Linked DNA regions of Notamacropus eugenii. The protein of the gene in region 1 interacts with the protein of each later gene in a biochemical or structural test. Links are inferred from orthologs where the notes say so. Each region holds a gene or a part of one and is shown on either strand. Other genes may lie near its edges.

The links. The genes of interacting proteins can lie anywhere in the genome.
Region 2: the proteins of DCN (region 1) and TGFB1 form a complex in vitro, tested with the Homo sapiens proteins (3 studies listed by BioGRID). The link is inferred for Notamacropus eugenii from reciprocal best matches to the Homo sapiens genes DCN and TGFB1.

Annotation. Positions count from the first base shown.
Region 1 is NC_092874.1:273,543,474-273,551,066, reverse strand, and holds the start of DCN (decorin), read left to right. Parts: upstream 1-4,569; 5' UTR 4,570-4,633; intron 4,634-6,579; exon of another isoform or gene 6,580-6,984; intron 6,985-7,593. UniProt on the Homo sapiens protein: May affect the rate of fibrils formation.
Region 2 is NC_092876.1:29,868,115-29,875,033, forward strand, and holds the start of TGFB1 (transforming growth factor beta-1 proprotein), read left to right. Parts: upstream 1-3,912; 5' UTR 3,913-4,639; coding exon 4,640-4,985; intron 4,986-6,233; coding exon 6,234-6,382; intron 6,383-6,479; coding exon 6,480-6,597; intron 6,598-6,919. Other genes in the region: B9D2 (B9 domain-containing protein 2), read left to right, coding at 946-1,033, 1,636-1,761, 2,186-2,499. UniProt on the Homo sapiens protein: Transforming growth factor beta-1 proprotein: Precursor of the Latency-associated peptide (LAP) and Transforming growth factor beta-1 (TGF-beta-1) chains, which constitute the regulatory and active subunit of TGF-beta-1, respectively.

The DNA of each region.
Region 1 (7,593 bases):
TATGGTTTTGATACCCAAACCAGGAAGAGATAAAACAGAGAAAGAAAATTATAGACCAATTTCCCTAATGAATATAGATGCAAAAATTTTAAATAAGATTGTAGCAAAATGAATACAGCATCTTATCACGAGATTAATACATTATGATCAGGTAGGATTCATACCAGGACTACAGGGCTGGTTCAATATTAGGAAAACTATTAGCATTATCGATCACATCAACAACAAAGCTAACAAAAACCACATGATTATCTCAATAGATGCAGGAAAAGCTTTTGACAAAATACAACATCCATTCCTACTAAAAACATTGGAGAATGTAGGAATAAAGGGAACTTTCCATAAAATAATAAGCAGTATCTATCTAAAACCTTCAGCAAGCATTATATGCAATGGGGATAAGCTAGATGCATTCCCAATAAGATCAGGGGTGAAACAAGGTTGTCCATTATCACCACTATTATTTAATATGGTACTAGAAATGCTAGCTGTAGCAATTAGACAAGATAAAGATATCCAAGGAATTAAAATAGCCAAAGAAGAAACTAAGTTATCACTCTTTGCAGATGATATGATGATTTACCTAGAGAATCCCAGAGATTCAAGTAAAAAATTACTTGAATTAATAAACAACTTTGGCAAAGTTGCAGGGTACAAAATAAACCCACACAAATCTTCTGCATTCCTATATATTAGCAACAAAGTCCAACAGCAAGAGATAGAAAGAGAAATCCCATTTAAAGTTAGGGTAGACAGTATAAAATACTTAGGAGTCTACCTGCCAAAACAAACCCAGGGATTATATGAACACAATTACAAGACACTTTTTGCACAAATAAAGTCAGATTTAAGTAAGTGGAAAAACATTAGTTGCTCATGGGTAGGCTGTGCTAATATAATAAAAATGACAATTCTACCCAAATTAATATACTTATTTAGTGCCATACCAATTAAACTATCATACAATTACTTTCTAGAGCTGGACAAAATAATATCAAAATTCATTTGGAAAAACAAAAGGTCCAGAATATCAAAGGGACTAATGAAAAGAAATGCTTGGGAAGGTGGCCTAGCGCTACCAGACCTCAAACTGTACTATAAAGCAGCAATTATCAAAACCACTTGGTATTGGCTAAGAAACAGAGAGGTAAACAAGTGGAATAGACTTGGCACTCAAGATGCAGCAGGCAAGGAATATAGCAACCTTCTGTTTGATAAACCCAAGGACCCCAGCTTCTGGAATAAGAACTCATTGTTTGACAAAAATTGCTGGGAAAACTGGATAACAGTGTGGCGGAAATTAGGCATAGACCCATACCTGACACCGTACACAAGAATAAAGTCCAAATGGGTACATGATTTAGGTATAAAGATTGATACCATGAATAAACTGGAGAAGCAAGGAATAGTGTATTTATCAGATCTATGGAGAAGGGAAGAATTCTTTACTAAAGGAGAGATAGAATGCATTATGAAATGCAAAATGGATAACTTAGATTACATTAAACTGAGAAGTTTTTGCACAACCAAACCCAATGCAACCAAAATACGGAGGGATGTAGTAAATTGGGAAAGAATTTTTACAGCTAAGCTCGGGGATAAAGGCCTCATTTCTAGAATATATAGAGAACTGACCCAAATGTATAATCATACAAGTCATTCCCCAATTGATAAATGGTCAAAGGATATGAACAGGCAATTTTCAGAGGAAGAAATTAAAGATATCTATAATCATATGAAAAAATGCTCTAAATCACTATTGGTTAGAGAGATGCAAATCAAAACAACTCTGAGGTACCACATCACACCTATAAGATTGGCAAACATGACAGAACAAGAAAATGATAAATGCTGGAGAGGATGTGGGAGAGTTGGAACACTAATTCATTGTTGGTGGAGCTGTGAGCGCATCCAACCATTCTGGAGAGCAATTTGGAACTATGCCCAAAGGGCTACAAAAATGTGCATACCCTTTGACCCAGCAATATCGCTACTAGGACGATATCCTCAAGAGATCATAAAAATGGGAAAGGGTCCCACATATACAAAAATATTTATAGCAGCACTCTATGTAGTTGCCAAAAACTGGAAGTCAAGGGGATGTCCATCAATTGGGGAATGGCTGAATAAATTATGGTATATGAATGTAATTGAGTACTATTGTGCCATAAGAAATGATGAACAAGAAGACTTCAGAGAGGCCTGGAAGGACTTATATGACCTGATGCTGAGTGAAAGGAGCAGAACCAGGAGAACTTTATGCACAGCAACAACCACAGTGTGTGAGAGTTTTTTCTGGTAGACTTAGATTTTTGTAATAACACAAGAACTTCTTACCAAAAAAAAAAAAAAAAATCCCAATGGAGGATCTCAAGGTAAAATGCCTGCCACACTCAGAGAGAGAAATATGGAAGTCACTCACATATTGTAGCAGATCATGTTTGTGTATGTGTATGTGTTTGTGTATCATGTTCTGATTTGTTATACGATTTCTTTCATTTATCTTAGTCTGACTACATAGCATGACTATAGTGAAAATATACTCAATAGGAAAGTATATGTAGAATCTATACAGAATTGTATGCAGTCGTGGGGAGGGAGTGGGGTAGTGGGGAGTAGGTGGGGAGGGATAAAATCGCAATTGTATGGCAGTGATTGTTAAACATTACAAAATAAAAAAAAATAAATTAAAAAAAAAATAAATAAAACCTGGGAAGAATTGTGTGAACACAGCAGAACAAAATGAGGAGAGTAATTTATGCAACAATGTTGGACAGAATACAACAACTTTGAAAGACATAAGAACTATGCTCAATGTAATGACCATTCATGATTTCAGAATACCAGTGATAAAGCCTGTGACTCATCACTTGACAGAAGTGTGATGATTTCAAGGTGCTGAATGAGATACATATTTTTGGACACAGCAAATGTGTGGATTTGTTTCTTTTAACTATTCAAATTCAGAATTGCTTTTATTTATACATTCTTGTTGGAGAAATATTTGGGGACAAAAGAATGTAAAATAAATTGATTTATTTTAAATGAAAACAAAATCCAGCTTCTATAAATTTAGACTATCATTCTCAATAATCTCAATCCTAAAACTTGACCTTATAACATATTTTTCAGTTGTCTTTCTAAGATCAATATAATGTGTCACTATCACCAGAGATATGTAACTTAACATTTTTGAGAAAGAGTTTTTTAAAACACCACTAAAGCTGGTATCTGAAATTCTGCCCTTAAAGATCTACTCATCTTTATCATTAGACACTGTTATTCCTAGGTAGACCCTGCCCAAAGACAGACACCACTGGGAAAGGTAACACATTAGCCTTTAGGTTGAATTAGATCACCAAATTATCTGGACAAGTCACTGAGAAAATAAAGGGAAGGAAAATTCACTTTTCCTAGCAAGATAAGTGGGTTTGGAGGGTCAAGGAAGGCAGAAATCTTATAGAGAATATCAATGGGACCCTGACTACTTTGCTGGGATGCAACTGAGATTTAGAAAGGGAGGAGAAGGTGGCAAAGGGATTGTGACAAACAAACATTTTTTTTCACATTCATTAGAGTTTGTCCTTAACTTCATCATGCCCATCCCATGGTACTTCTATGCCTGAAAAACCACCAGTTTATGGTGAGGGAAATAGCAACAGAAACAACGCAATACAATGTAGTTTGTTAGAACTTGCCTGGTCTGGACGTATAACCCTGGTCTTCGAATGTCCCATGAAGTGTGTGAAGAAAATCACCTGGCTTCTCAGGAAATGGCAGAATCCTTTTCAAGCCTGGCATTCTTCATCCTGCTAATAAGTAATTGTCACTTAAATCAATTGCTTTGCTAATGAAAATGGCCAGCCCTGAAATGAACTCTGACAAGACACAGAATCCAGTTATCCTGCTAACTGATGACTTGTCAGTTGAAATTACAGTGCAGACATTTTTAACAGTGGATGGGGTATGTGATTTGAATTTAAATATTTCACATTTCTACATGGCAGCCAACATTTCTGGGAAGACTAGGCTGACATTTCAGAGTAGGATGAGTTTGAATGACTTGGGTATAGGATTAGCCTAAAGACCTTGAGTTTCAAAATTGTTCACTTTCACACTTATCTTTCGGAAATCTAGGTTTGGGTTCCAGCTCATGTTCAAACTATTGGACTTGAATGAAGTTAGTCACAGGCACATTAAAATCTCACTGTGATTAAGATTCACTCAGCCACAAATACACACCCCTACTTTCTCAAATCAGTGTTACAAAATAGAAATGAAGCAATGCAACAAACAATAACTATAACAACTTTGAGATTTTAGAAAAGTTCTTTGCAAATCCGAATGGTGAAGACTAGCACACACACACACACACACGTGTCAGTACTAATAGAAATTCATGTTTCAAGAGCCTAGTTGTGGCTTTGAATATAGGGTTGTTTATTAGTTAAGAAATATAAATGAGAAGCAGTTTAAAACATTTTAACATCTCTCTCTCTCTCTCTCTCTCTCTCTCTCTCTCTCTCTCTCTCTCTCTCTCTCTCTCTCTCTCTCTCTCACACAGAAATTCAAACTCAATGACTGAGCTCAAGAGATATGCCAGCCTCAAGCTCTCCTTTTGAAAGATAGAGAGGTAAGAGAGAATAGAGATGGGAGGGGGGAAGAGGGAGGGAGAGAGAGAGAGAGAGAGAGAGAGAGAGAGAGAGAAGAGAGAGAGAGAGAGAGAGAGAGAGAGAGAGAGAGAAGCAATGAAATAGGTGAATAGACAGATTGATAGAATGATGAATAGATAGAAAGGCAGAGAGATAGAAATGTATGGATAGATAATAGATTGATAAATAGATAGAGGTAGATATAAAGACAGATGAATAGATAGAGAAGTAGATGATAGAGACAGGCACAGATAGAAATAGAGACATAGACAAATATAGATAGAGAGATGAAGAAATAAGTAAACAAATAGATGAATAAGTAAATAATTTCAGGTCTTTAGTTTTTCTTGACCCTGAAACCAGGAAGACCTGGGATCAATCTTCATCTTTAACACACATTGCTTTTATGATTCTGGACAAGACACGTAATCTCTTGGTGTTCCAGGGAACTATCTAAGAAAAGAAATTGAAGAGGGGACATGGATCTGCACATGCCTCTTACTGCAATCCTCTAAATTATACAATATATGACTCTCCAGAATTAGCTTTGTCCATAGCGTAGATGGCAAATATCCAGCCACAAATGACTTGCTTAATTTCAGGAGCATCAATAAGTTCGCCTCTGGTCTTCAAATGTCTACAGCCTTTGTAAAGTGCTTTGCAAACCTTAACATATTAGCTCTGTCTGACTCCTTCCTGGAAACCTTTCCCTCCTCCTCTTGGACTTCTCACCTCCATAGCTTCCTTTAAGGCTCGACTAAAATCCCACCTTCCTCAATGCCTCTTTATTCCAGTGTTTTCTCTCAGTTAATTACCTACTACTTATTCTACATAGAATTTGCTTTGCTTATATTTGTTTGCATGTTAGATTTTTAAGCTCCTTGAAGGTAGGCAACTTGTTGGTGAGTTGTTGTTTTTTTTTTAGGGGGGGGTGTCTATCTTTATATCCACAACACTTAGTACAGTGCCTAATGCAATTATTATAATTATCATTTTATAGTGCTATTTTATTTATAGAAATACTTTCCAGCACACCAATTATTTCATGCTCTCCTAGTATTGGGCATTCCTTCCGCAATTCTTATTTAAAAGTGACCATCCTGTTATCACTGTCCATATCTCCTTGTAGATCCACTATAGGGGGTCCACCCAAAGTGCTTGGGGGCCTTACTCATATTCTCTGCAAGTCACATAAACATCAAATGAATACCAAATGTTTCTTCTTGCTAAGTGACAAAACCTTCTGCTTGTTCCACCCCACCCCTCCCCTCCCAGTTGGAATCAAACTGCAAAATGTTAGGATTCTTGTTCCATTATCTTTGGTTTGTATGGCCTTGGTTGAACTACTTAGCCTCCAAGGTCTTCAGTTTCCTCCTTTTTATGATGGTGTTGGTTTAGTGTAGGTTTCTAAGTTCTTTCACAGATCTATCATATTCTGTCATTAATTTTATTTTCTTTCTTGAAAACAGTTTTTGTTAGTGAGAAAGCTTGAAGTTACACATTACCAAAGAAGTGAATGTGGGAATGCAGGGATGGGACTAGAAAACTCTGAAGTTGAGGTGCTAAAACTTTCACTCAGTTTTCAGTTCTGTCTCAGGCCAATGAAAGCCCATCCCTTTCTAGGCCCTAATAGATGGTGAATATGTTGGTCACAGGAAATACAGTTACATACCTAACAACACCAAGTCAAATATACAAAAGGGTATAGAAAACAATTTGAAAAGGAGGAGGGGAGGGGGAGCTGTGTTACTTTCTTCTGGGTGACAGTGTGGGATTTAGCCAGAAACTTGAAAAGAGAGAATAGAAATACAAAAGTTTAGAACCCCATCCCTCCCCACCTGAGTTTATTTCTACTATGTTCTAGCAGAAGATTACAGCACCTCCCCTCTGTCTTTCTCTGTCTCCCTGTCTCTGTCTTCATCTCTGTCTCTGTTTCTTTCATGATGGTGGTGGAGAATGTCATAAAATAAAAGAGGGGTGCATCTGCTCATGTTTCAAAGAAATTTTCTTCAGGTTTGCACCTGGTCACAGCCTAGGGGCAGGCAGAAAGAAGCAAGTCAAAACACAGAGACACGAACTTTTCAAACTTTGAAGAGAAATCTCAAAGCATTTGGAACCAGGGAGTTGTTATTAATGTTCTCAGTGCTTTTCAGGGGCTAAGTAAACATCTTCTTGGAGATTTGGATTCTTTTCTCCCTTTTCTGATGTTTGGAAAGCTCCTGGATATCCATAGCTAACAAAATTCTGGATTCATTTAAGAAAATAATAACTACATTCTCTTCAAACCCACCTCCCCAACCACAGAGTGACATATGATCAACTTCTAGATTAGGTATGTTCTCTCACAATCTTGGTGTTCACAGTTAGATCACTTTTTTTTTGGAACAACGATGACGTTATATCTATTGTGCTTTTTACATTTGGGAGGCAAGGGTTAGGGGGAAGAAGGGGGATGCACTTTTAAGGCTGCGTTAGTTTATACAAAACATTTCTGGTCATAAATGTCAGAATCATTTGAGTAATGAAAATAATAAGTGACAGGCTTTTCATATAAAATTCTGGCTTCCTTCCAGGATCCTTTAGGTAACCATTCTAAGTATATAAAAATGCTCCCATAGCATTTAAGATGTAGTACTTGAGTTTCTGTTTAAAAAAATAAACAAAAAAAAATTGCAGAGTGAAGCAAGAGAAGATTGAGTAATTTTTTCTTAACTAAAGATTTCTCACATATTTGATGCAGAACACATTTAGAATAAGTACAAGATAAATACTGGATTATTTGCTAGGCTTCCAGGTATTGTGAATAAGGGAGGAAAAATCCTCCTTTCAGGCTGATAAATGTTACTTATAAACCAGGATAGAAAGAAAAGTTGAGGGGGGAAACAAAGCCAAGCCTTCAGTTAAAAATCTCTCTCTCTCTTTTAAAGGAAATGAATCTAGT
Region 2 (6,919 bases), on another chromosome or scaffold:
AACAATGGGGTGGGCGCAAGGGATCTTGGAAGGAATCGCCTTCCGAAAGGACCAATCAGCAGTGTGCTGGGCGGGCACACACAAAGGGAAAGGGAGCTCTTTCATTATCGCCCCGCCCCATTCTATCTGAGGCCCAATCAGCGGCGTGCGAGGGGAAGGCGAGAGATACCTACTGGTCCCATTTCCTCTCCGACGACCAATCAGCGACGCGAAGGCGTGCACGAATGGTGCGCAGAGAAGACCGCGAGCTTCTGTTGCCAGAGCAACGGCCGGAGCAGGCCCCGGAAGCCGTTCACCCTGCTGACGGTCCCGAAATCTTCAGGTTTCTCGGGTAAATGAGGGGTAGGGGAGGCGAGGGTCGGGCGCCGAGAGACGCGAGTACGTGTTCCTGTACAGTTGTGCTTGCCAGAGAAACAGCGCCTGCGCAGAGGCTGGAGTCATGAGCGTTTTGCCTCGCTCCGGGGATACTGCGCATGTCTATTTGGAAGGAGGGGGCGGAGTTATAAGCCCTAAGGGGAGGAGCTATGGAGATGGGCGGAGTTACCGAGTCTGTAGCTAATAGCGCATATGCCTACATGTATACGTACGTATATATCGTTTTAAGTTTTGCAAAGCGCTTGCTTTACAGATATTATCTAATTGAACCTCAGAACAACCATGGAAAGTCTGTGCTATTATTATCCCCATTTTGAAGTTGAGGAAACTGAGGCAGAGGTTGTGACTTGTCCAGGGTCACTCAGCTACTAAGTGTCTGAGGCTGGATTTGAACCCAGATCTTCAAGACTTTGGGTGCACTGTTCTATCCACTCAATTGAAATCATGATGTGCTCATTTTACAGATGAGGAAACTGAGGCCCAGAGACATGTCCAAGGTCAGGCAGCAGTTTGGTCGCTGCTGAACTTCATTCTTTGTAGTCTTCTGACATCTCTCCTCTCCACTGGGCCATGGCTGAGGTCCATGTCATTGGGCAGATCATTGGGGCAACAGGTTTTTCTGAGAACAGCCTCTTCTGCAAGTGGGGTGTCCATACTGGTAAGTATGTGGGGATAGCATGGCCTCATCTGTTCACATCTCTGGGGAGTCCTCTATACCTTCCCCCCACCCCCGGGGAACTTGACCCTTGACCTTCCTTGTGCACTCAGCTGGAGAGAGTGTGGAACAGAAGGGGAAAGTCCTGAGGTCTTCCTCCTGATTCTTCAGGACCTGTACCCCAAATTGTATCTCCACAGCAGAGTCTTTGCCCACTTAATGGGTGGGTGGGAGATCCTTCAACTCCAAAGAGGCCTAGACCCCCCTCCTTTCCTTCTTTCCTTGGGGACTGTGAGAGTCTTTAGTGGGGGGTGGGAGTGTGGGGATATGAGGAAGGTTTTCGTCCTACATGGAACTTACTGCCCTTCTTTTTGGCTAGACTAGATTTGGAATTATAGAGGCAGAAAGGGACCTAGAGATTTCAGCCAGGAAGCTCTTTTTACAGTAGAAGAAGCCAAAGTCTAATTAGGTCACTGATGGGACCAGGACTTGAGCCCAGGGCTCTTTCCAGTGCCATAGCGGCCCCTCCCTCTAACCCAACAGAATCCCTTCTTCTAGTCCCTCCCTCCCTCCCCTCAGTGACCCTTTCCTTTCCTGACTGGCAGGAGGAGCATGGAAACTGCTGTCCGGTGTTCGGGAAGGCCAGACACAAGTGGACACCCCTCAGCTGGGTAGCATGGCCTACTGGTCTCACCCAATTGACCTGCATTTTGCCACCAAAGGCCTACAGGGTAAGGGCAGGGGTCCCAGGCTCTGAGTAAGTGAGCTGGGAAGGGACTGCTCCAATTGGACAGGGAGATGAGGCTCTGTCCAGTTCAGGGCACCTAGTAGTCCTTCAGGCTGGACCCTGGGGTTGGGGAATCCCACCTGGACCCCCAGAGACTGGGAAGGTTGAAGAGAAAGACAAAAGAGACTCAGAGATGGTCTGTGTTGTTTATTAGACCTGACAGATCTGTCATTTGTGGGTGCTCCTGGTCAGAATATGGGCATCAGTGGTTGGCGGGAGCAGCTTAAGATGGCAGAATGCCTTTGGGGGACTGGGAGTGGCTACAGGAGCCTGAACAAAATCAGGGAAGGAAGACAGAAACCCAAGCCTTGGGAAGAAGGGCAGACTTGGCCAGCAGAAGACTGAGGTAGACCCTCTCCTCTCCCCAGGCTGGCCTCGGCTCCACTTGCAAGTGTGGTCTCAGGACGTCTTTGGCCGCTGCCAGTTGTCCGGCTATGGCTTTTCCCACATTCCCAGCAGCCCCGGCATCCATAGCCTTGACTGTGTGACATGGCGCCCCTTGGGTGGCTGGCGGGAGCAGTTGGCTCGGGCCTTCGTGGGTGGTGGGCCCCAGCTGCTACACAGTGATGTAGTCTACAGCGGGGCCGACCGATACCGGCTCCACACAGCAGCAGGGGGCACCGTGCACCTGGAGCTGGCCCTGATCCTGAGAAACTTTTCCCGATATGGGGTTGAGTGCTGAGCACCTCGGCCAGCTCCCAAGCCCTTATCCCTCCATCCCCCAATTCTCCATCTCACTTCCTTCCCTCCCCTCCTCTTTTCTGTCTGTCCCCGGGCTCCTGGCCTCAGCAATCAATCAACCAACTCTTACTGAACTTTTATTATGTGCCAGGTACTGCCCTAAGAAAGCCTTGGGGTACCAAGAAGGAGCAACATGGCTCTGTCCTGGGGCATCCATGTCAATGGGGGCGATTTCATGTAAAGAAATATATGAATTGGTCTATACAAGATTCCGACAGAGTACAAACATCTCATTTCTATCCCTTCCTTACTGTCAGACCTGAGTCCAACCCCTTGTTTCACCAGAGGGGGAAACTGAGCCCAGGGATGCCCTGGTTGAGTGACTGAGCCCCAAAATGTCCGAGTTCAAGGGAGTCTTAGAGACCCTGGATGCCATCTAGTTCATTCCACTCTTTGGAAAATGGGGACACCTAGGTCCCTAAAGTGAAAAGCGCCTACTTCCAGGGACCTGGAGCCCGGGGTCCAGCCATTGCAGGGCCTTCTTAGACCCACTTCCTGGACTCCTTCTGGGCCGGGTGGATGATGTTCCCCTTGTGACCCTCCCCTTCTGCTCTTTCCCCTTTCCTCCCCTCCTTGGGTCATTCCCCCCAGAGGCCAGGCTGTCTTTTCAGCGCCCCCAGCACCCCAATAATCCCGGCTATTTTCTCCTCCATTTTCTGTCCCCCCCTCCTGCCGCGGTGTTTTCTCCAGTTTTTCTGCAGTGCCGTCCTCAGTGAAGCTCTGACCCTTAGGCTGGGACCTCGTGCTGAAATGGGACTTGCTCCCTGCCCTCCGAGGATACTCCGTCCAGTGGCCGCAGGGGATGACACCCCAGGACCCCCAATCCCTTATCTGTCCTGTCTCTCAGTCTGGTCCTCCCACCCCTCCCCCATCTCCTCCTCCTGACCCCTTCCTATAAGTGGCCGCGGATCGGAGGCTGAACCCGTCCCAGGGTCTGGATGGGGCCGGGACCAGTAAGGAGCAGCACCCGCCGCTCATTGGGGGACTTCCTCACTCCGACCCAGGGAAGACCAGGGCTGGGAGAGTCCCGGGTGCGTTCTCCCGGCGCTTGGCGGCCTCTCCCCTTTGCGGCCAGGGCCTGGGCGGACGCCCGGGCGACGGGGTGGGGGTGAGCCCCTAGCCCAGCCCGCTATTCCCATCCCGTCCCCCATTGCTGGCGTGGGGGGAGTGAGGACGCCGGGGTCCCGGAGGCGGGGCGCCATCCCCCGGCCTCCGGGCGGCTGGGGGGGGGGGGAAGCCGCGCTTCCCTCCCTCCTTCCCCTCCTTCCCCCCGCCTTTCCTCCCCGGCCCCCGCGCGCGCTTCCTGGGTGGGGCCGCAGCCGCTTCAAAAAGCTCCGAAGCCCGAACCCGGCTGCCCCGCCGGAGCTGCCGCCCGCCCCCTGCCCCTGCCCTCCGCCGCCCCCGAGCCGAAGCTGCGATCCCAGGGGGCGCCCCCCGTCCCGTCTCGGCCTGAACCGCCGCCACTGCCTCGCAACCCAGCCCCGCCCCGGCCCATGCGGGGCCCCTGGGGCCGGCCGGGACCCCCCCGGCTCTAGCGGGGCCCGGGTCGCCGGCCCCAGCGGGAGGAAGGAGGAAGGACGAGGAGGAGCCGGGGGCCCAGGAGCCGCTGTCTCCAGAGCAGCCGCAGGAGCCGCCGCCGCCGCCGCCGCCGGGAGGAGGGGGGAGGGGGGAGGAGAAGGAGGAGGAGGAGGGACGGGACTTGTTGCCCAGAAGTTGAGACTTTCTCACCGGCCGAGCCGGAGCGCGCCCTGCCTGCCCCCGGGAGCCAGGGCCACCGCGCCCTGGACCCTCCGGACCTAGCCGCCCCTCGCACCCGGCAGCCCGCCCCCCTCCCCGAGTCAAGGAGAGCCCCCCGAGACTCCGGACTTTTCCGCCCCCCGGCGTGCTGTCCTTGCAAGTTCCCCCCCGCACGCTGCAGGGGTCACATCTCCCCGTCAGTCTCAGGCCCCCTCCCCTCCCGGCAGACCTCCCCGAAGGGCCCCAGGCTTTCCCCTCGCGGATCCCGAGCCCTCCCGGGCGATTTCCTTTTCCCCGCCGCCGGCCCAGAGGCCAGCGTCGCCGCAGCGTGTGCCTCTTCCTCCATGCCGCCCTCGGGGCTGCGGGCGGCGGCGGCGGCTGCCCTGGTGCCGCTGCTGGCTCTCCTGCTGGTCCCGCCGCGCCCGGCGGTGGCCATGTCCACCTGCAAGACCTTGGACATGGAGCTGGTGAAGCGGCGGCGCATCGAGGCCATCCGCGGGCAGATCCTGTCCAAGTTGCGGCTGGACAGCCCGCCGCCCCAGGGCGACGTGCCCCCGGGCCCGCTGCCCGACGCCGTGCTCGCCCTCTACAACAGCACCCGGGACCGCGTGGCCGAGCCGGGGCCCGAGGCCGAGACCGACTACTACGCCAAGGAGGTCACCCGGGTCCTCATGCTGCCCCAGAATCCGGGTGAGCCCTCGGGGGCAAGCGGGCACCGGTGGGCCCGGGGGAGGGCTGCTCGCAGGAGAGGAGGGACACTCGGGTAGCAAGAGGCGAACAGTCGGGCAAACGGGGGAGCCCCGGCCAGACCCACGAGGGCGGCCACACGCCGTGGGCGGGGCGTCCCTCTGCCGGCCGGGAAACCCCGGAGTCCAGCCCCTGGCCCTCCCTCCCTCTCGCCAGTGGCCCCGGGGCAGGGAATCGGCAGCTGGAGCCTCGGGGTAGGAGGGCGAGCAGAGACAGGTCGCAGCCCGGCTCGCCCGCTTTGGGCCCCGCCCTCTCCGGTGCTGGCCCCCACCGGGGACCGGACCCGGGGCTCCCGGCCGACCTCGACCCCTGGCCCTGGGCAAGGCTTCCCGCTTTCTCTCGGGCCTGGGGACTTTTGCTGAAGGGCAGCGAGGGTCTCTGCTTGACTTTTTCTCCCTGCTCCGAGTCCCCTTCTCTGAATCGTGGCCCCTCCAGCTCTGTTCTCCTGCTGCCTCTTCAGAAAAAGTCCTGAGTTTGGAGTGGGAAGACCTGAGTTCAAATCCCATTTCTTCCACTCATTACCGGTGGCAAGGCCGAATAGTCCTCTCCAGCTCCTAAACTGTCTGGCCTTTTCTCTCTTCTCCTGCGTCCTTGTTCCTCTGTATTTTCCCTCCCCCTTTCTATCTTGTTCCTTCTCTCCCCTTCACCCCCTCCCCAAGCAGAGTAACCCTGCATCTGGAGTCAGAGAAGGCCTAGGTTTTTCCACTTTCTACCTACCCCGGTTACATTGGGCAAGTCACTTAATTCTCTAGACCTCCTCACTTTCCTCGATTGTGAAATGAATGTAGAACTCAAGAGCCCCTAATGTCCCATCATCTACCTCTAAATCTATGTTCCTATTGGGCTTCTCCCTGACTCTCTCCTTCTACATTCTGGTCCCTTGGTCTCCCTGGGGCTCAGGCCACCCAGAGACTGGCTCTGTGGTTTCTGAATTGGCTCAGCCACAGAGTTGTTTGGAGGACCTGGGGGTGGGGGTGGGGGGCTGGAGAGGGCATCATATCAGGAAGCAGAAAGGGAGGGAAGGACATCTTTTCAAGCTCCGGGTGTGTATGGGCCCCTTGGCTCCACCATCTTTCCTTAGGCTTCCCTTCCACTTCTCTGATGAGGCAGGCAGGCCAGGGCCAGAGATGCCTTTGGCTAAGACTGTGGCATGGCTTCTTCTGATTGCTCTCTCCCTGTCTGCCCCCCCAGATGCTGATAAGATCCCTCACAGTGTTTACTTCCATTTCAACACCTCGGAGCTCCAGGAAGCTGTACCTGATCCAGCTCTGCTGTCTCGAGCAGAGCTCCGGATGCTGAAGATCAAGTCAACAGAAGAACAGCATGTGGAACTCTATCAGGTGAGCCCAGGCTGATGGGGCTTGTGGGGGCTGGCAGGGTCTGTGGGGGAGGCCACCTCCAGGGCTGTTCCCTCACTGCCCTTCATCCTCCCCGAAGAAATTTGGCAATGGTTCCTGGCGCTACCTGACCAGCCAGCGGGTCCGGCCCAGCCAGACCGTGGAGTGGCTGTCCTTTGATGTTACCAGTGTGGTATACCAGTGGTTGAGTAGCAAAGGTGAGGTTGGGAAAGGCAGAGGGAGGTGGACACTCTGGGGAGAAAGAAGAGGGGGGCTTCCTGAGCCCTCCCCTTTCAGTGAATATTCCCATCTATGAAAGGAAATCAGGTTCAGAGATTATCATGCATGCACACATATAAATAAAATAGGGATTAATTCAATTCAATAGAACAGTTACAGATATTCCCTGTACCCCCATGACAGTCTTTTTTTACCCAGTCAGGAACTTGGTTGCCTCAGGTTAGGAACTCGAGCTCTCTCTAGGTGGTGTCTCCTGGGACCCTAGACCTATCCCTTCACCTTCCCTGTGTGCCTGCCTAC